Linked DNA regions of Astyanax mexicanus. The protein of the gene in region 2 interacts with the protein of the main gene of each other region in a biochemical or structural test. Links are inferred from orthologs where the notes say so. Each region holds a gene or a part of one and is shown on either strand. Other genes may lie near its edges.

Region 1 (10,992 bases), on a different chromosome or scaffold from region 2:
CGACGCAGCTCTCCGAGAGGAGGTGGGGATACTACACAAGGTAGAGCTACTGCAGGAGGCTGAAGATGTTCTGCTCACTTGAAATAGGAAGAAAGACATTGATATTGAAAACCATCAACATTGATTTGATATTATTTGAAAGATAGAATATATTTAACCTAAGAACGGACAATATGGACAATATGTGGGGTCAGTAACTGATGCTGTAAATGCTATGCATCAAAACCCCACTGTTTAAATCTTTTGAGATCAAAAACAAACAAAAAAATATATATATACAAAACATTTCTCGTGAGAAACCCCATCATGTTATTGTTTGCATACAGTTGGATGTGAGTTAAAATTCAAACTCAAATTTAATTTTAATTCAAAAATTATTTGATAACATTTTCTTACCCCCCTTTTAAAGTTTAAAGGAGAACTCGTGTAAAATTGACTTTGGTGTAGTAAAACATGATTTAAAAAAAAAAAAAGTACTTCCCTTTGTTGAATAGCCCACCACCACTTTCCTACAGCTTCCTGAGATAGTAATTTTGTGCTGTTTGCCCTACACTCTATATAGCCCCGATAAGTGCACAGTTTACATCCCGTGCCACTAGCTTTCAGCTTCGTGTGCCGCCATCATTGTACTGATAATGACAGACATACATACATAGACTCTGCTACAATACTATACGCCCGTTGTACAGCGTGCTGGGCAAAAAGCACCAAATGACTCAACAATTATTCAACAAAAGTACTTCATCATGTTTTACCACACCCAAAGTCAATGTTACACGAGATTTCTTTTTAACTGTACATATTTAATAGAATAGCAGGTAAGTCTGTTAGTAAACCAGAGCATTTCCGCTTACCTGCATTAGCGTGTGCTGCTGTGGATGAGGACGTGCCACCCCAGCCCCTCCTGGAGGATCGTGGGTAGGAGTCCATTGGGCCGGGAGACGAGCCCCGCCTACCATGGCTGGAGGACGAGGTGTGAGGAGCGAGGAGGGGCGGGGTGGCATTCCCACGCTGCTGTGAGCTCATCACTCTGCTCCAAGCACGTGGACGGCAGGGTGGGAGGGTTGATGTCACCGTTGTTGACGATGTTGTACTGCAAATTAATGCTAAATTAACGTTTATATAATTCAACACAAACCACAGGAAACAGTCTCACCCAGCTGCATCCTGTCAAAAAAAGAAAAAAACAATAATCAGTAACTATATCTGATCATTAATCAGCCATAAAATTAAAACCACTGGCAGATTTTTTTCATGGCTGTGTGAATGTGCCAAATCTGATTTTTTCAAATCAGATTTGAGTCACTTTCATATGTGGTCCTAAATCGGATACGTATTCGATCCATAGACATGAGACATGAATGTGAACGGTCAAATCAAAATTCATGCGTCTTTTTGCTTTGTCATCACCAGACCGGGGTCGACCATTGCTGGCTTCTCTCTTGTACTCACACACCTCTTGGTGCAACTGTGCAGCTAATAGCTGCAAAAACAGCAAAAGCAAACCGCTTGGCCTTTTTTCACCTGTTCAACCTGAGCATGTCCTTCAGACCAGCTGTTTACTCTCCACTCCAGCAAAAGATGCTCCACATATGAGCTGCTAACACATCCATTTCCCTTTATAAAGCTACGAGTCGTCTCTTAAATATTACTTTTTTTGTTGTTGGTGAAAAAGGCGAAGTTTATACTCAGATACAGGTCACTTATACATTTCTGAATTTAAACCCTCAGAATAGCCAAATCTAAGCAAAATATCAGATTTAAGCAATGTGGCTTGTAATGTGAATGTAGCCTATGATTTGGGTACTTTTGGTTTGAATCTGAATTTGAGTGGGTGGGTGGTGCTATCTTCCTCATCACTTGTAACGTATTAATGGACATAGTGCATCGTAATTTCACGTGTTTTCATAGTATACAGTATCTCACAAAAGCAAATACACACTTCACATTTTTATAAATATTCTATATTTTAATGGGACAACACTGAAGACATGACACTTTGATACAATGTAGTCAGTGCACAGCTTGTAACATTGTAAATTTGCTGTGCCCTCAAAATAAATGAGCAGACAGCTATTAATGCCTAAACCGCTGGCAAAAAGTGAGTACACCCCTAAGAGATGCCTTGTTATTAAGTACAACACAGATTTACCACAAAAAAAACTCATGAAACATTAAAGACTGTGGTTGTGTGCAGCACATATCAATTAGTAGGAGTCCACAGAACACCCTGGCATAGCTAAGCTGGCAAAGATGAAGTTAGAGCAACAAAATGTGCTGCTTTTTGCATTATCAGAACAATCATTCAAAACATCTACAAACTAATTTACAAATTAAAGTGATCATTTTAGCCATCATTCACCAATGAACATTGGCAAAGGCAGATGTTTGGTCCCTAAAATGTGATGTTTAGTTTTTTTTTTTCTAGAAAGCATGAGAGAGTTTGTGATGTCTCTGCAGGTGAGTTATTAAACAGGTAAATTATATGACAGCTGTGTCTCCACCCATCCACCATGCTGGCATTACTCACACTACAAATGTGTTGCTTTCTGCCCTTTTATACTTAAATATCTACTAACAAGCATCATTTTACTCAAACCAACCACTCAGGTCACTAGCCTAGTTATAGTTAAAGGCTGAAGCCACTGCAGCTTTGTTAGCAACTGAAATCATGTGACTAAATCCCTAGAATACACGTGTCCAGTGTTGTACAGTAGGTGGTTTCCTGCCACAACACAAACCAACTAGACCCAGTTAAACTAAATGAACTGTGCTGCACTGTAGCCCTCCAGCCCTGAGCTGCTGTCAAAGAACTGGAATCTGCTCAGATTAAACTGGATTGCTCAACAGACTGGTCTCACTCACAGGACTTACAGGTTACCCTGGGACATCCATTCAGTTCAACAACTATTACCCAACATTCAACATTCAGCTTCTACAATCTAAATTTAATGTGTTGCTCAAACTGAGCCCGTTATTTAAAGACATGTTGAAACTGTGCATAAATACATGTGTACACTCCAAACATACATCTTGGGCAACTAAAGAATTATTTTGTTATTAACGATAGCATAGCAGAAACTGATTCATAGAAAGGCTTTAGTAAATGACTGTAGTTGATACAGTCTGTGGAAACATTAATAGCAGTTATTGAATCATGTATGTAGTTAATGAATCGCTAACATTAAATACTGAACCATTTAGAGCAATTAGTGAATCATTTTAATTGGTCCTGGATCATTTAGATCAGCTACTGAATACCAGCATCAAAACTATAGAATGAGTTACTGAGTTAAACTGGTTAAGCCCCGCCCAACAACATAGTGTTGTACTCTGTCCTTACATCCCACTATTCTGATTAAATAAAAAGTAGACCCGCTCAACAACATAGCAGTGTTTTACTCTGTCCTTACATCCCACTATTCTGATTGGATAAAAAGTAGACCTTTATTAATCAGATTTTATAGATGTTTTTTTTTTATATTATGACTGTTTAAAATCACAATATAAATCACATTGGTTACAGTACTGCAAAATGGCTGAAACACTGACATATTGAATCATAACCCCTGCATTGTGATGTGCATCATAACATGCTTGTCAATGTACAACCCTAATAGTTAAAGCACTCAGCTAATGCTGTGCAGAACCCTCTGAAGACACTTTCACAATCTCAGTAAACAGAACATTAAGCTGACATCCAGAATCCTTTAAAACAGTGCTTTCAATTGTCAAGAACCTAAAACACCCAGCAGAACTACAGGAGTATAATTAATATGCAGAACCTTACAGAACAACGACTTTCATGTTCTGTGTAATTGAGCAAAGCATTCATCAAAGCAATCCCCTTTCAGACAAAGTCATGTTCTAGACCAGTGGTCCTCAAACTGTAGTACATGTACCACTGGTGGTCACTGAAGCACACAAAGGTGGTAGACCCCCAAATACCTTTTTTGCCTGTGGGCACCAGGGGATACCAAAATCACTAGGAATTTACTAATTTGACAGTTTTTATTGTAGACAATGACATATTTTCACTGTCAGATAAAAAAAAAATTCTCCAAATGTCATTACCTTCAAGATGACAGCAATAGCATTAATTTATTGAGTTTCACACTGACAGCAAGATATCAAACAGCCTTATTACACATTACACATGTCCCTAGTCTTCATATGCTGCTGTTAATAACTTTATAGTTTGATTTTGGGAGCTACATGGTCTAAAATGTTTGAGAACCACTGTAGACAGTTTAAACAGCCACAACGTGCAGCAGCTCGTGCGCATAAGAACAGTTATAACAGTTATAACAGCATAAGAACACATAAGAACAGTCACTGTGTGCTGTGTTGTATTCTGTTCTAACTGCCTGCAACGTTCTCAGCTCGTGCGTGCGTGAGAACTTCGCCTGCCCCTTTGGGTTTTAGCTATCTACACCACTCCTCAGCTCCTGCACAGAACTCTAACGCTGGTTGCGAGTTACCAATCTACTAGATTTTGAAGGGAACCAATTAGCTAATAACCACAGGCTCGTGCACGGGGCTGGAAAAGCTGCTACTCGCGCTGTAAACAGAAGAGCAGACCGGATGGTATTAGCTAGGTTAACTAACATAGACAACTAACGCGGATAAAAGCGGCTTTGGCGTTCTAGACAACGAGATTTAGGCTAGGCTCTGTGTGTAGTCCTGCAGTACGTGATCAAATGACTTGCTAGGTAGTTAGCTGTGTTGGTTCGTGCGGTTCTGTCCGCTGTTTATTTGATTCTCTTAGCATGTAGCTAAGCTAGGCTAGGCTAGGCGGAGTGAGGAGGCTGTGTTTACCAACCGCTGGTCTCCGGAACCCGGGCTGTGAGGGGAGTTGGGCGCGATTATAAGCAGGCGGAGAGGGCGCTGGGTGCGGCCGGGCAGGCTGAGCTGGCGGGGCTGGCGGTGAGGGCGGCCGGGCTGGGTGTGAGCGGAGTCCCGCAGCAGCGCTTCAGCGGAGCGGCCATTACTGCCCACTGCTAAGATGAAGGAACATCCGGGGATGTCCAAAGCGGGGGGCAACATCCGGGATACGGAGGCAGCGCTGACCCCGCCCACACTCGAGTTCATGGGTCTGTGGACCAATCAGCGCTTATTTATCATTTTAGCGAAGGTCTGTACAGTGACAGTGTAAAAATCATTATTTCTGTCACAAAACAATAAACATGTATGTCATTATTTTATTTTTCATTATATGTATTATTACTTTTTAACTTATTTCAATTCGTTTCTTTATAATTATTATTTATTATTCTTTTATTGTGTTTTATATGATCTTCTTTTCATCTTAATTTATTATAAATTAAACCTCAAGTTTTGATACATTTGATACATTTTTATTTTTATTTATTTATATATAATATTCTTTTAATTTAAAATTATTAAATGTAGTCTTTGTAGTGTCAATCCCTGTTTTTGTAAATGCTCGGCTACATTAAAATAAGGCTTGCCCTCAATGAACTCAAAATAAAGGTTGATTTTTTTTCTCCCCAGTTCAAAAGGCCAGTTACTTAACCCACTCATTAGGAGGTTACACCAGGAGGGTAACCTGAATTACTGCTGCTGATGCAGCATGGCCGAGTAGCCAGCACGCTGAGAGAAAAGCGCAGAGGCTCAGTTCCAATACATCAGCTCACAGACGCCTTGTGCTGCAGACATCACCCTTTTGAGTGATGTGGGCAGAGAGAGCCAGCTACCCACCCAGAGAGAGCATGGCCAATTGTGCTCTCTCAGGGCTTCGGCAGCTGATGGCAAGCTACATGGGCGGGTTTCGAACCAGTGATCTCCCAGGCAGCGTCTCATTACTGTACTGTTAATCATTACTGTCACACCATTAGAAAATGGCATCTACCTTGTTTTACTGCATAGAATGATCAGCCTTAACATTAAAATCACTGACAGCTGAAGTGAGTAGCACTGCTGAACTGGTTTCAGTGGCTCATGTAACAGGAACATAGCACACAAAGTAAGGATATTTTTGTTTGGTAGATTATTTATTTGTTGTAACAATGTTCTTACTTCTTAGCAATAAATCTTATACAGTAGGAAAGCCTGTTAATAACCATTTTAATTGTTAACACATTTGTAAGGAACATGTGTTTGTGCCCTTTGCACAAATTGTGCCCTAATACCATCTCCAAACTGAATGCCGGGGATAATGGGGAATGTCAGAGACAGGGCATTAAGTAGGGCCTCCCAAAAAGACGATACCCTAAGAAGATTTTCAAACACCAAATGAGTCAATGGGTGAATAAGTTGTTTGCTGTTCTGCTACTCATCCCACAAATGCATGTTCCTTACAAAGGTGGAACCATTTAAAAGGAAAATGAACAGGCATTCCAACGGTATAAGATTTACTTCCAAGAAGCATTGCTAATACAAGGAAATGTCTACCTAGGACAAATTTCCATACTTGTTGTGCCATGTTTGTATTAGGCTAGGGGTTTTCAGCATACAACATTTAGCTTTTAAATAAATTTGTTTTTGCCTTTTATATAGCCCTGCAACAAAACTTTAAAAATTATGGCTTGAAAAAATAGTTTAATTGTTTAACAGTCCAATTGCAGGAAATGTGTAAAGTTGTTCAACAGACAAATGTTTTTTGTTTGTTTATAATGTGCATGGAGGAGGCAAAGACACTGAGTACATTTACATGCAGTTCATGATTGGATTATAATCAGATGACTGCAGTTAGAGCTGGACAATATAGCAAACATATATATGCAGATCTATTTCTTCATTTTGGACAATACAATGTAAACAGCGTAAAATCAATTTATGCTAAATCAAGGTGTCGCAGAACTGTTTAATGGTCTTATGAGAGCTAAGTGCACTTTTACAGCTACATGAGGACATTTTAAACATAACTTTTGCAGTTTTCTCTAGAATTGAGTATACAGCATACAGTGTGACTTTACCCTTCAATAGTTTTGTATGCCATCTTCACATCACTCTTATTAAGTCTAAGACTCAGACGATGCTACGTTTTGCCGTTTTGATGATGAGTTGTTGAATATGTGTTTTTGATTTACAATGGTTTTGCTCTTAGTTCACCTATAAAATAAATTTGGTATGAGTAAAGACCCGGGGTTAATATAAACCCTTTGAAATCATAGTCAAGGCCTAGGCATGCTCCTGATTCCTCCAAGCTCAGAACTCTGGTAAAACAGTGTGTCAGGCATCAGGCAGTGTTTTCATATCCATTTTGTGCACTATTATACCAAGTACACCAAACTCCTGCCAAATCAGTATAACTTACAGCTGTTGATTAGAATATTAATACACTTAAAAATGCACAAAAAACTCTGTAGTGCTGTGTGAATCCACAAACTCCAAAGAAAATATTTAAGAAATTTAATATTTATTTATTTATATTACAATTAAACATGTGTTTGCACTGTTTTTGTTACATAATCAAATCACGAGTAATAGTTAGTCACAATCTCCGCAAATACTTTGGTGGCCTCCTCACACTCCTTATTTTTGGTCTTTCCTGGGATCTGAAAAAAAAAAAAACATACACACACACACAAATGTATTTTAATTTCCTGTAAAAAAACATAAGCAAAGGAGGGTTACCACATAACGTGGTTATACAAGATATTTTCCAAGCCATTTAAAATGCTAATGGAAATAACAGTGTTTTTTGCATTTATTTTGATTACACATAGTACAAACCCAATATATATATTCCTGCATTTCAGAACTGCTATACAACACAAAAAGGGACTGTGCAAAACAGAAGTTAACCATTTGCAAAAGCGGCATCAACTTTCATGGGCTTGGACAGTGACATAAAGAAAACAAATGTTTAGAGAAAGACAAATGTGAAAGCAAATGTGTGGATGAAGGTGCTGTGGTTAGATGAGACCAAAGCTGAAAGGTTTGGCCTAAGTTAAAAAGCTCTAAATGTGGCGAAAAGTAACACTGCTCATCACTTTGAGCACACTATCCCAAATGTAAAACATGTTTATGGTTGCATCATGCTGTGGGACAGCAGGGACAGGCAAGGTGGTCAGAGTTGATGGAAAGATGAATTGAGACAAAACAGGGCAATCCTGGAAGAAAACCTGTTGCAAAAAACCTGAGACTGGGAAGGAGATTCACCTTCCAGCAAGACAATGACTCTAAACATACAACCAGAGCTACAGTGGAATGGTTTAGATCAAAGAATATGTATGTGTTAGAATAGCCCAATCAAAGTTCTGAAAAAATTCCCATTGAGCTTTATTTGGCAAGCATGCTCTCAAAGGTTTAAATGTGCTATAGGCACGGATGATGTGTCCGCGTACCTTGGTACACAGACACTTATAATATGCAGATCAGTCTATCAATAAAACCACCTGCTGCTGAGGCTCAGCCAATCAGCTTTCCCTCCTACCCTTCCTCTAAACCCATACATCACCCAGTGCCCCTCCCAAACTACACCTCAAATTTTTTACTCTTTTTCAAATTTGAGCTGAGGGTGGAGTTAACGAAAATCAGGGGGTTTAGTGCCTCTTTAGGAGTGTGGGCCTGCCTGAAGATCTGCACTCACCTGGTTACACACTGCTTTCCCGTATCGCACGAATGTAGCAAAGTGTTCGCAGTTCAGCGAGAAGAGTTTATAATTGAGCTCTTTATCCAGCAGCGCGTCTCGGCGGATCCTCATCTCCTCTGGGGTGGATGGTTTTAGAGCGTGCCGGTTGTTGCACACTAAGATGTGCGCCCCCTTTGGGACGGTGACTTCTTTGACAGGCACCCGGCGGATTTTGGTCTCCCCGATGAGTAGATCCCCGCAGACCGGGAACACGGTTTGGAGGTAGCCTCGGAAAGTGTTCATCACCTGGGTCTCGTCTTGGGGTGGGGTTTATAATAAAAAAAGTACATCTTAGAATTTATGAAAAACTTAAGGGTCAACAAAAAAGTGTTTTTACTAAAATGTTTTCAGGAAATGTTGTAAATGTGAGCAAAATACAAGGTGCAAAGTTTCAGAATTGCATCTTTTTAAATTTCTAACATACACAATTTAAAAAGTGTGTATTGCCTTATTATTTGCCCTTAAATCATAACTTTTAAACAATACATAATAAACATGATTTTTGGGGGAATTATTATTTGGTTCCATTCCTATATAAACCTGAAACTGACACCAAAATATATAATAAATTATTACAAATAAGTTGAAAAGACTTCTGACTGATCTATTTTCAATTGTCAGATTGTGTATTTGAATTAATCTATGCAGAGTTAAAACCTAAACCTTAATAATACATGGACATTTCAAACCAAATAATTAATTATGAAACTTTCAATTGTTCAAAGCAAGTGATTTTTCAGCAAAAACATTGTATCTTTCTCTATATTGCAAACATTAAACATCTGTAGATATATATAAGCAGTGTTTTCCTACCTGCAACTGCAAAATGTATGACGTATCCATCCCCATCGTAGACACCCCAGTGAGAGTAGCCAATAGGATAGCTGAATTCAATCAGGTCTCCAAAGTGGGCGGAGGCTTCAATCTCAGCGACCTGTTGGTGCAGATCAGGTTTTAGAACCGGTCTGACAACATTCTCTAAACTACATTTACGCTGAAAACTTCTAGAACACTGTCAAATAGCCTACATTATATTTATATTCATAACTGAGATCACACAGTAACTTGCAGCTTACTGAGTTTACAGCCAGTCTGATCATCACATACTGGACTGTTTACAGTGTGTTTAGAGTTAGCATGCTCTATGCAGCAGGCAGTGCTAATCTGTTAAACTGTAAAAATCACAAAATGAGCAACTCTGAATGTTCTGTTTTATTAGAAAATGCAACAGTTAAAAAACTAATATTCTAACTATTATACATTTTAATTAAACTAAACAATACAACAAAAATCAAAATCAAAAATCAAATGCAAACACAATGTAAACACAGCAAACACAGTCTAAACACATTGACTGCCCTGTTTTCCAGCTGTGGGAATCTGGCATCTGGCCCCTTAAGCTATATTTAATTTCTGTATAAATCATATATTATAATTTTGTATAAATAAAGTACAGTTTAGGCCATTTCACCTTTTACTACATATATTTTTATTTTATTCTTTTTTTTATTTTATTTATTATTTAAGAAGACTTACCTGTTCTGTGTAATCCATTGTAGCCTGTCCTTCGCATCTGTGAGATCTCCTCAGGTGTGTTTTTAAAAGTATGATGGGCGGGACTAAGTAAAAAAAATTGAATGTGGGCTGAAAGGAGTTAAACCTGAATGGTTAGACTGCAGCAGAACCAGAAACCATTAAAACCCCACCTGAATGATTAGAACAGGTGAGGTCAGGTGAATACTGAAACTGGGCTGTCAGTTAAACAGGAGTGACTTAAGGTGTATTTTCCTCTGTTTTAATCCATTTATTACAAAATATGATTTTTACATTAATTTTAGTATTTTATATTATTTAAAACTGGAAATAGAGGAACAGCAAAACAATCAAGGGTAATACAATTAAGACAGCTTTTAAGAAGGCTGAAACAATTTGAATACAATATCCAGTTGTCTTTTTAACATTATGACTTTAATCTTGTAAAATTATGATTTAATTCTTATAATATTGCAACTTTATTCTAAGTCAACTGTTTTTCTTAATTTCTTTTGCCCTAAAATTACGTCATAAAATGTAGGTTACACAGAAAGTCAGTCAGTTTTTTTTAGCTTAGCAGACTATGATACTGGTCAGTTACCTCAGCATGCTAACGCTAAGCTAATCTTTTTAACTTGCATCTTTCAAGGTAAGATTTAGCAACTGATATTAAGCGTGAAAAGTGGAGTTAAATGCTTTATTTCTTCAGTTTATTTGAGTAGAGTTATTAAATATAGTTACTTTAACTTGGTGTTTTTTGCCTCCCTGACTCCCTGGATCTGTGGTGCTGCTCTGTGTAGCTACATAGCTAACGCTAACTACACTGCACTGGGAGAGAGAAACACTGGAGAGGAGCTCCT
Region 2 (10,950 bases):
TATCTAGTTTGCTGGACTTTGTACAGCGTTATCTAGTACAATTTACTGAATTAGGCAAATACTGTACCAATACTGTGCAATTATTATTAAAATACATAGATTACTTACATGCACAGATCCTGTTACAAATAAATGCTGATATTTTCTAATGTAAGATTTTCATTTTATTATATTGTATCATATATTTCACTATTTGTCTTGAGCATTTAGAATTTTTAGTCGTATGTGGAGTTTTTAGTCATATCTATGCACTACATTTGGATTTAGTGCCTTTATGGTAAAGTACATGTCTACCTCTTACAGGAAGTGAAGAAGCAAACATTCACATTACCCCTTCACTCTATACAAGGTTTTGTGTCCGAGGCCACCAACTTTATCATCCTGCGTATTTTAGCTCAGCAGAAGAAGATTCCAGAGAAGATTATGTTCTTGTCATTCAATGCTGACACCCAGCTTAGTGTGGCAACCTATGTAAGTACTTCTTTCATATAGTTTTATGGCCCTGTTACACTGATGTAGAGTTTTTGTTATAGAATGAAAGATAATTTATTTAATATACAGTAGTATTATACAATATAAGAATATTGTATGACCATTTAAAGAACGAATTGAATTGGCTTGCCATCAGTTGCCGGAGCTCTGAGAGCACAATTGGTTTTGCTGTCTCTTGGTGGGTAGATGGCGCTCTTTTCCCTCATTACTTTTAGGGTGATCTTAATCAGCACAAGGCGTCTGTGAGCTGATGTATGGAACCAAGTCACTGCGATTTCCTACCAGAACACTGGCTACTTGGCAATCCTGCATCATAGCTGACTTCCCATGTGTCACATGTGTATTATTAATTACAAAGACAATGAGCTGACAAATTCTGTTTAATTTAATAAACTATTTTCATCCCACTCCTGTCATACACAACCTCAGCTACGACAGTGCCAACTGTGTGCATAAACTGAATCAAAAGATTCTACCAGATAAAAAGGCTACTTAAATAAAAATAAAATAAATCATAATAAAATAAAAACCACAGGCACAAAAAATGTAATGTAAACAAAATAAAACATACTACTGCTACATGTGCCCCGCCACACAGGAGTCAGGCCATGGTAGTCATGGCCCAGAGGAGCCGTGGTGGGCGTCCCTTATTTCCATTTCTGAAAGGTGGCACCCCTAGGTACTTTACGATTGTTAATGTTTTTGTTAATAATGGTGGGGAAGGGGGATTGACTTGCTTTGCACATTATTGTATTACAATCACAGCCTATCTTAAAAAAAATCTTTGTGAATGTGAAGCTTGGTGAGCAGCATGTTATCGAGATCTGTAATGTCCACTTACTCAAGCTATAGAGTTCAATTGTCAAATATATGGCAGAAAGGTGCCCCACAAATATATATGGCACACTAAGCGAGCACTTAGACGGGTTGTTAGACTTGTTGTAGAAAATATTTGAATATTTCTTTCTGACATACATCTATAGATTCTCTACATTCATTATTCTGTAAGTTACAGTGGATAAAGATTAATCCCCACTTGCTTGTAAATCTTATTTTCCTGTCATTTCAGAGGGAACTGGGCACAAAGAAGCAGGTGGTTGGTAAAGAGATGGTGGATGTGTTTGGCATTGAGATGACTATATCTTCTGGAGATGACATCCAAGCATCCTGGCACTGCTACTTCCTTCCAGATGGGTATAATTTTCTCCTGCTAAACTGCTCTATAAATACATTAGATTTACATGGCTCTCTATTTCCAATAGGATTTTTATAGATGTAATAGACAATTTTCTCTCAATTTTATAAAGTCATAATTTTATGACCTACATATTGGTGTTGGGTGGTTAATTAAAATAATTTGAGTACAACGCTTTGATGTCATCAGTAAGATAAAAGCTATATTTTTTATCTGAAACTATAATACCTGCCTATTTGTAGGTGTTATGTAGGTGAAAATGATAGGTTATGGTAAGTTATATGTATACAATGTTATATTGTAAACCTACAGAAATTCTGCCAAAAACAATAAACATATGTGGAAAAAATTTCGAATGAGAAGTGATACTACTGAGAAACACAGCCACCTATAGTGGAGTTTAGTAGCCTGATGTGCCTCTGCTGATTAGTAGAGATGGCACAGTCAGTTTGAGTTCAGTTTAACACTTTCTTTATTATATATAATATATATATATATATATATATATATATATATATATATAATACAGTGCCTCAAATGTTCTCTACTGAACAGTTGAGCAGAAGTTAAAGAGTTAGAGCGATTTTCAAAATGGAGTAATAGAGATTGTATATACAAGCTGCTAAAGTAAATCTCAGAAGATAGTATAATTCTTACACTTTTCTAAAACTGAAAAAGGCACTTACAATTCTTTTATTAAATAGCTAAATTAAACATTTGTTATTATTTTGGTTTCATATATAGAAAAATGAAATAATAAAGTTTGGGTGGAGTAATATGCCCTGCCTCTTACTTAACACCCTATAAATACCATCTACATAGCTTACCTAGCTTTGGCACCTCTACAAATAAAAAATTAAATAAAAAACTAAATTGTAATGGAGAATCACTCATGTATTTAAAGAATATTGAGTTGTTGTTCTTTTGTGCGACTTCTACATAAGGAGCAGGTTCTGTTGGTGTCTGATTAAACACTAGAAAAAATAAAGCTATATTGCTTTATTATAAACACAGCACTATACACCATATTAACTTATTGTTCACTTTTTCTAAGTGTAGCCATTTAGCCAGCAGAGTACAGCTGGGCTCTCCAGTTACTATGAACCTCTTGCAGCTCCCTCCCATAGCAAATAAAGGTCTGTAAATATAAAACATTATCTCCTTGTTTGTTTTTTTTCCTTTGTTTGTTATTTTAATAATTTTAGTAGTTGCTTATGTATTACGTAAGTTACACTGTTGTTGCTATTTTACTTTTTATTGCTTTTATGATTTCCTTGCATTAGAATCCTACTCTTGCATTTAACTATTTTATGTATATTTGTCATTATCTTATTTTTTTATTTAATTAAGTGCTGGCATTTTCTTTATCAATGTTATTGGCTTGGCTACATTGTAAATGAGGGCCAAATAAAGGGTTTAAATAAAGGTGGGTTGAGACCTCACCACACTGTGACATGTTCATTTTCTAGAGGAGAGAGACCAGAAGCCAGTGTTTGAGAAGAAGCCCCTGGTCTGGGAGGAAGATATGGAGCTCCACTCAAAGTTTCTTGACAGAAAGGTGTCAAATCATCATATTGATCTCATTTTGTTTTTCTTTGTTTCTACACCAATTATCCATTTTTTTAGCTTCACTCATTATATAGGACACATTGTAGTTCTATAATTACAGAGTGTATCCCTTCTGTTACTCTGCATATTTTATTATCCTCCTATTATCTTCCTCCAACACATTGCAGCTGTGATTTGTGTGGTGGGTCATTCTTGCACCATCCTGTGGACGGTGTCACTGCAGTGCTTAGAAAGACCCACCACCCAAATAACAGCTGCTTTCTGGTGGTCTTGTGGGGTCCTGACCATTAAAGAACAGGGTGAAAGGAGGATAATATATTATGCAGACAAACAGATACAGGACAACAGTCTGTAATTATAGAACTATAAAGTTTCCTATATGATCAGTGGAGCTGATGGAAGGACAGTGAGCGTAGAAACAAGGATGCGGTTGTAATATTCTGACTCTGGACTGTGTATATTCTACATAATACAATGTATTGAGATGTTATACACCAAGTAACACATTCTGCATATTTCTCGTCTTGCTCCACATATTCTCCATATTGCAGGAAGAGCTGAAAGCAGGCCACTCCTCTTATGTTAGAGATCATCCTGAGCTGAAGACGCTGCTGGCGGATTTTATGCAGTTCCTGCTGTTAAGGAAACCTCAGGATGTTTTCTCCTTTGCTCAAGACTTCTTTGCTCCCTTTGACTTTCAGCGCCCACCAGACAGCAGCTTCAAGACTTCTTGAACCATAAAGTTTTTTAAAGTAGCTTTACTGGAAGAAAAAAAAACTCATAACCTGTCAGGCCTTTATCCTGTGTGATGAGTAATTTTAATAAAGAGTTTCCATTTTGTGCTAGGTTTAACATTTTTTTGATGTGTTTTATTTTTTATATCCTATGGGATATATAACCAAAAAAATAACATTTATTTATTATAATTATTTATTATATTTTGTGTTTGTTAGAATCAAATGTTAATGTTTACATTTTTTAGGAACCTAAAGGCTAGAGCTAAGCAATATAGTAAAAAATGGTATCACGATAATTAAACATGTTTCAAAATACACACTGTTTATCACCATGTTTTGACATGCAGACAAAATGCTTCAACTGCAGATTATTATTTTATTTATTTTTTTTTTTTATATTATTTATTAAAAATAAAAAAAAACTCAGGCATAGCACCTTAATATACATTCAGTTTCTCACCATCCAATTAAACAAGACTAATTATACTCAGTCATAAAAAAATACAGTTGGGTCAGTGTTTAAGCTCTGAAGATATGCGTGATGTTGGTTTAAAAAATGTATCTCTGTATGATTAACATTTTTTCATAATGCCCTTCTCTACTAAAAGCATGTAATGTGGTGTGTGAAATCGGGACTTTTAATTTGAATTAAGTCCTCTAACCATTCTAATGGCTTAACCCAAACTGATTTTGTTAAAAGATTTTTCCCTATTAAATTCATGTAATCCATGTAAATTCAGATTGATAAGACAAAATAATAATAATAATAATAATAATAATAATAATAATAATAATAATAATAATAATTTGTTGAAATTAATGAAAACTTAGCTTCTCTATACTGCACCAAACGGAAAATAATAATTTAATTTTTACAGTTAATTTTCTATTTTCACGTTTAGCCTCAGAAACTGTAACTGCTTAATGTTACAATGATCCACGTGTGATCGAAACAGGTCCAACTCTGACCACAAACAGCGTCATTAATTTCTTTAGTTTAGTTAAATTACAGCAAACTAAGTTACACAAGTAACTCAGAAGCGAGTGCGTCACTGCGGGGTTTCCACTCCCTGTTCGGTTGTTTTAACTCTTTATTAGCCTCGGGATCTTATCGAAACTGAAAGTTGTGTCGGTCGGTGTGGAGTAATGTAGCCAGGTCTGATCTTCTCCGAGTAAACTAACAGATAGAAACGCTGTTTCTGGGGTTTTAACTGTGAGTGAACGTTGGCATCGCCACGAACTTCCGGATAAGGACCAGAGTGACCAGTGTCTAAATGTGAAGGTAAGAAATAATATAGAATTTCGCTTAGCGTTATTACAAACTTTCTGTAACTAGCAGCCAGGCCGGGTGTTCTGTCGAATTTGGCTACATTGCCCAAATGTGCTACTCTGCTGTATTGACAGACAACGCTGCCTAAATAAAGCAGTGGGTGGAATATTTTGGATGGACTGAAAGTATCATATCAGAAAATGCTCCCAGCTGAGGTATAAGATAAATATTTACTATTTATTTAACTATATAGTTATTTAATAACTATTTCAGGGTAATAAATACGAGAGGACTGATATTTTTTTTAAGTTTGAATCGCAATTTACACTTTTGTAACATTCTGCATTAGTAAATGTAAGCTAAAATTGTGAAAAAGTCCGAGGAAATCATAGACTGTGTATAGCGAGGAAATGGATCAGAAAGAATGGTAATGTAAAAAAAACGTTTTGGGTCTGCACATGCGCAGAACAGCTAAATAGCTCTTATCGTGGGGTAACGCAACTCGACAGAACACCGGAAGTGTAAACATAAGGCTAACTAACGCTAGCTAGATAGATGGTATACAACTCGAGGCAGGATTAAATTCCAACAGCGCTGTAGTTTATCTAATGTGTCGCTGATCCGGGCGGGTTAACACCGATTCTGTGCTCGATATTTCAGTGTCTGTAGAGCTGAAGTCTTTGGTCTGTGTTTAGCTTGGCGCTAATGTTAAAGTTACCGTAGCTGCGTCTGCTGTTTTTACCTTTTTCACAGTAGGTAAATTCAGCTCAGCTGGTAATTCAGGGAAAACATTCTGTAACAGGTGGATGGTTCATCCAAAAAAAAATAAATAAATAAAATAATAATGTTCCCCTAATCCCTAAGAGCCTGACCATGATCATTTTTCATATATATTCATATATATCATTATAATATTGGTATGCATGCATGTATGTATGTGTTTGTATGTATGAACTTTTAAACAAAACTAAAGAAATGTATTTTGTATTGTTGCGTTACATAGGTACATACCCATAAGTAAATGAAACATATGTAAAATTAATTTAAAAACTTCAGTGATAGTGCACTAGGGAAGGGTGGGAGGGGTTGCAAACCCTGGTGTCTTCGTGGTTGAAAAAGTATTGATAAAAGAGACAGTATGTTCTATTGGTGACTTTTCTTGTGATCAGTCTTTTACCGTCCACAGTCAAAATAGGCACAGCAAGTTTCCAGATCAGGTCCGTTTCTTGCCCAGTATGGAACTCAATACACTTCACATTATAGATGAGGAGCTGACAAAGAGTGAAGTGGCTGCCTTAAAGTTTCTGTGCTCAGATGTTATTTCTCGCAAGCGTCTGGAGAACGTGAAGGATGCCAAGGACCTGTTCCTGCGTCTGAGAGAACAGGCCCTGCTGGATGATCCTCGCTTCCTTGCTGAGTTGCTTTATACCATCCGTCGCAATGACCTGCTGACATTTCTGGGCACCAATAAAAGAGAGGTCAACAGGTGGCTTGCGATTTCTCCGTACAGGTAAAGGTTATCAGGTATTTGTTAGGGTCTGGAGCTATAATGCAATCGTATTAGTTATATAAATAAATCTGTACTTTAGTCAGTTTATTTTTTGTTTTGTTTTGAAAATTCAGATGTTATGTTTGAGCTCCCTGCTGTTGTATTATGATTAATGATTGCCAACTGACTGGATATTAAGGATAGTTTCTGAGATTTCTTCTTCTCATAGAAATCATGTATTCACATTACCAACACATGCTTCCTGTAGGAAGATGCTGTATAAACTGTCTGAAGATGTAACGGCTGAAAATCTGCGTGCCATAAAGTTCCTTTTGGATGGGTTGCCCAAAGCAAAGCTGCAGGACGCTGTGAGTATAGAGGTCTCCAGCAACATAAAACCCCTCATACAGCTCATTTGTTGTTTCTTTTGAAGTTTATTTTACTTATGTTGCAGTATCTCTTTGGGTGGGTGATATGCCTGCGTCTTAAAGGGAATGACTACTGGCACATTGATCACGTTACACACCCATGAACAATTAAAAGATTTAGAACACGCCTCTTGCGCTGTTGGAGCTACGCAAGGCCTACACAATACCAAAGACAACGGACACGCCCCTAAATCCAGCGGCGCAAAGTGCACTTAACTAGTTCACTATAGGTCGCTAAAATAGGGCCCTAAATGTAAATGAACAGTTTTAAACATTCAGTAGAAACAAAAATATCTGTAAACATTTACAGTGAGTCCAAGAAGTATTTGATCCCTTGCTGATTTTCTTCGTTGGCCCACTAATAAAGACATGATCATTCTATACTTTTAATGGTAGATGTATTCTTACATGGAGAGACAGAATATTAAAAAGAAAATCCAGAAAATAAATCTAAGGAATATATATTAATTGATTTGTATTTCATGGAGTGAAATAAGTATTTGATCCCTTAGTATTCATTAGCAGTTCTGGCTTTTACAGACCAGTTAGACACTCCCAATCAACTTGTTACCTGACCTGAAGCCACCTGTTCTCACTAATCACTTGTGTGAAAAACACCTGTCCACAGAATCAGACAGATCACACAGATTTCAAGTCTCCAACATGGGTAAAACCAAAGAGCTGTCACAGGACCTCAGAGTCAGAATTGTTGACCTTCACAAAGCTGGAATGGGCTACAAAAAGATTAATAAGGTGTTGGATGTGAAAGTAACAACTATTGGTGCAATTATCAGAAAGTTTAAAGAGTATAACATGACAATCAACAGACCTCGGCCCGGTGCTCCAAAGAAGATTTCGCCTCGTGGGGTGGCAATGATGCTGAGAACGGTCAGAAATCGTCCTGCAACCACTCGGCAGGAGTTAGCAAATGACCTGAAGGCAGCTGGGACCACAGTTTGCAAGGAAACAATTGGCAACACTTTGCGTAACAATGGATTCACATCCTGCAGTGCCTGAAAGGTACCCCTGCTGAAGAGAGCACATGTGGAGGCACGCCTCAAGTATGCCAATGATCATTTGAAAGATGAACCAAGTTATTGGGAGAAGGTTTTGTGGTCAGACGAGACCAAAATTGAACTTTTTGGCCTCAACTCCACCCGCCATGTGTGGAGGAAGAAAAATGCCGCCTATGACCCCAAGAACACTGTGCCCACCGTCAAGCATGGAGGTGGAAGCATAATGTTTTGGGTGTGTTTCTCTGCCAAGGGTACAGGGCTACTTCACCGCATCACTGGGAAGATGGATGGAGCCATGTACCGCACAATCCTGAGGGACAACCTCCTCCCCTCTGCCAGGGATCTGAAAATGGGCCGTGGTTGGGTCTTCCAACATGATAACGACCCTAAACATACAGCAAAGGATTGGCTCAAGAAAAATCACATTAAGGTCATGGAGTGGCCCAGCCAGTCGCCAGACCTCAATCCGATCGAAAATCTATGGAGGGAGCTGAAGGTCAGAGTTGCCAAGCGACAGCCCACCAACCTTCATGATTTAGAGAGGATCTGCAAAGAAGAGTGGGCCAAAATTCCCCCTGGTGTGTGTGCTAAACTTGTGGTTAACTACAACAAACGTCTCACCGCTGTGCTTGCAAACAAAGGCTTTGCCACTAAGTATTGAGTGTGTTTGGCAAGAGGGATCAAATACTTATTTTCCTCATTGAAATACAAATTAATTAAAATATATTCTTTAAAATTATATTCTGGATTTTTGTCTTGATATTCTGTCTCTCCATGTTAGAATATATCTACCATTAAAAGTGCAGAAGGATAGTGTCTTTTTATTAGTGGGCAAACAAAGAAAATCAGCAAGGGATCAAATACTTCTTGGACTCACTGTATCTGTTTCGACAGAAACTTATATAAAGATTAACACAATTATATAAAAATACCCTTATAGCTTTAAAGTAAATATCAAAAGTAATGCAAACAAAGGCTGCTTTTAAAACAGAATACTGCTATTAACACAGTTATAAAACAGTTCAGCTGCTACACAGAGCAATGCTGGGAGTTTTATATCCCTCTAGCCCATGCCTTGCATTAGGCATGGTGCCAATAGGTTCATGTTTATCTACTCTAGTCTACTCTAGTCTAACTATTTTATTTTATTATTTTATTGACAACACTTGCCTACAGGCACTAGACGAGCTGTGCGTGTGTGGATGCATTCACATTAGAAGAGGAGTTCACAAATATTTAGCCATATATAAAGTTAGTTTCTCAGACAGGGCTTAAGAGTAGTCATTAGTGGTATAACACTACAGAAAATTCACAGTTTGATTCACACCTCGGTATAAGCCCCGCGGTTCTGTGCGTTTTCAGTACAGTTGGTGGAAAAAATAAAGAGGCTGGGAATTCTTTATAGCCTCACCTTTATTAACTTTATAATAACAGTGAATCTTCATTATAACCATGTTTAGTTTTTTGGGATGAAATGTTGTAACGGGGCTCGAGCTCTTTTATTAAATGCTTGAAACCAGGGTTCTCTCCTACTGTCATCATGAGAGGCTCCATCTTTTAGATCTTGTTGGAACAAACAATGAGCGTGATTGTGAAGCTTTATTAGGAACAAAAGCATTAGCATTACTTTAACTTTACTTTTACTTTTAGCCTAAACTACAAATATTTTTTCTAAGAATATTACTGGTTGCATTTCAGTGTTTATTTCAGAGTTCTTTTTAAGAAATATCAGCATTAGACTGTCAAAATTAAATTATATTGGCGGTGTCAATCACTTGACACTAAATTTTTTAATGCTGGAATATTGTAGTGATTTAGGTCTGGCAGATTAGATCGTTTTGTGCTTTATTATAATATCTGAGAGAGAGAGAGAGAGAGATAGATAGAGAGTGCAATCGAGCGAGCGAGAACCCATACGAGCGAATGATCTGCGTTTCTGTGTGCGCTCTCTGCTTGTGTGCTCCAGACTGCACTGTTTTCAGCCAGAGCTAAACTTCTCAGGCCTGGCTATGGGCTAATTCAGTAGCAAGTTGCTAATAGCAACAGTGCTACAGCTACACTTTCCGGGTGCAACACTCCATTAGTTCCACATTACGTTAATTGGTTCCACATATATCCTATAGACGTTTGTGCGAATCGAACCGTGACTCCCGTACTGTGACGGTTTAAAAAGAGTGAATGTACCGTTACACCCCTAGTAGTCATAGAATATATTTTCTTTCCAATGTAAAACCTTTATCAAAAATGCTGTGTATTCCAAGACTAGGCTTAATTCCTGTCTGAGAACCTGCCCCATAGGGTACACTATAATTGTAGTTGTCATTCAAAATGGCAACATCATGTGATAAGTGGAGGGGTGGGAATAATAATTGTTTTTTTTGTTTGTTTTATTTTGTTTTTTTCTCTTGAACTTTACAGACATTTTTGGATGTTGTAACTGAGATGGAGAAGTCCCATTTGCTGACAAACGATGGCCTGGATGAACTGGTAGAGGTACTGGATAAATGTGACAAACAGCTGGCCAACCAGGTCCGGGAATTCCAGAGGGAACAAGATTACAATTCAGTTCCAGGTGAGTCTCCCTCCTCTCTTCCCTCTATCTTTTTTAATTCAAATTTCAGTCAACCCATATGGTATTAAAAAAAGTGCAGTAATATGCTCACGTTGCCTGTGCTATTTCTTTCACCCAGTGTATGTCAGTCAACCTGAAGAAGCAGAACCTATGGAAACGATTTCTGTAAGTTTTTTGTGGTC

Evidence for each region.
Region 1: the proteins of casp8 (region 2) and dedd form a complex in vitro, tested with the Homo sapiens proteins (2 studies listed by BioGRID). The link is inferred for Astyanax mexicanus from reciprocal best matches to the Homo sapiens genes CASP8 and DEDD.

The regions. Positions count from the first base shown.
Region 1 is NC_064419.1:9,012,274-9,023,265, forward strand, and holds the start of dedd (death effector domain-containing protein), read right to left. Parts: upstream 5,030-10,992; 5' UTR 4,823-5,029; intron 1,168-4,822; 5' UTR 1,027-1,167; coding exon 855-1,026; intron 78-854; coding exon 1-77. Other genes in the region: si:ch211-229n2.7 (phospholipase A and acyltransferase 2), read right to left, coding at 7,440-7,520, 8,558-8,856, 9,413-9,533, 10,136-10,153. UniProt on the Homo sapiens protein: A scaffold protein that directs CASP3 to certain substrates and facilitates their ordered degradation during apoptosis. May also play a role in mediating CASP3 cleavage of KRT18. Regulates degradation of intermediate filaments during apoptosis.
Region 2 is NC_064412.1:41,335,205-41,346,154, forward strand, and holds the start of casp8 (caspase-8), read left to right. Parts: upstream 1-6,439; 5' UTR 6,440-6,498; coding exon 6,499-6,773; intron 6,774-7,020; coding exon 7,021-7,120; intron 7,121-10,614; coding exon 10,615-10,768; intron 10,769-10,886; coding exon 10,887-10,933; intron 10,934-10,950. Other genes in the region: ciliogenesis-associated TTC17-interacting protein, read left to right, coding at 304-471, 1,562-1,686, 2,747-2,823, 3,157-3,245, 3,808-3,990. UniProt on the Homo sapiens protein: Thiol protease that plays a key role in programmed cell death by acting as a molecular switch for apoptosis, necroptosis and pyroptosis, and is required to prevent tissue damage during embryonic development and adulthood.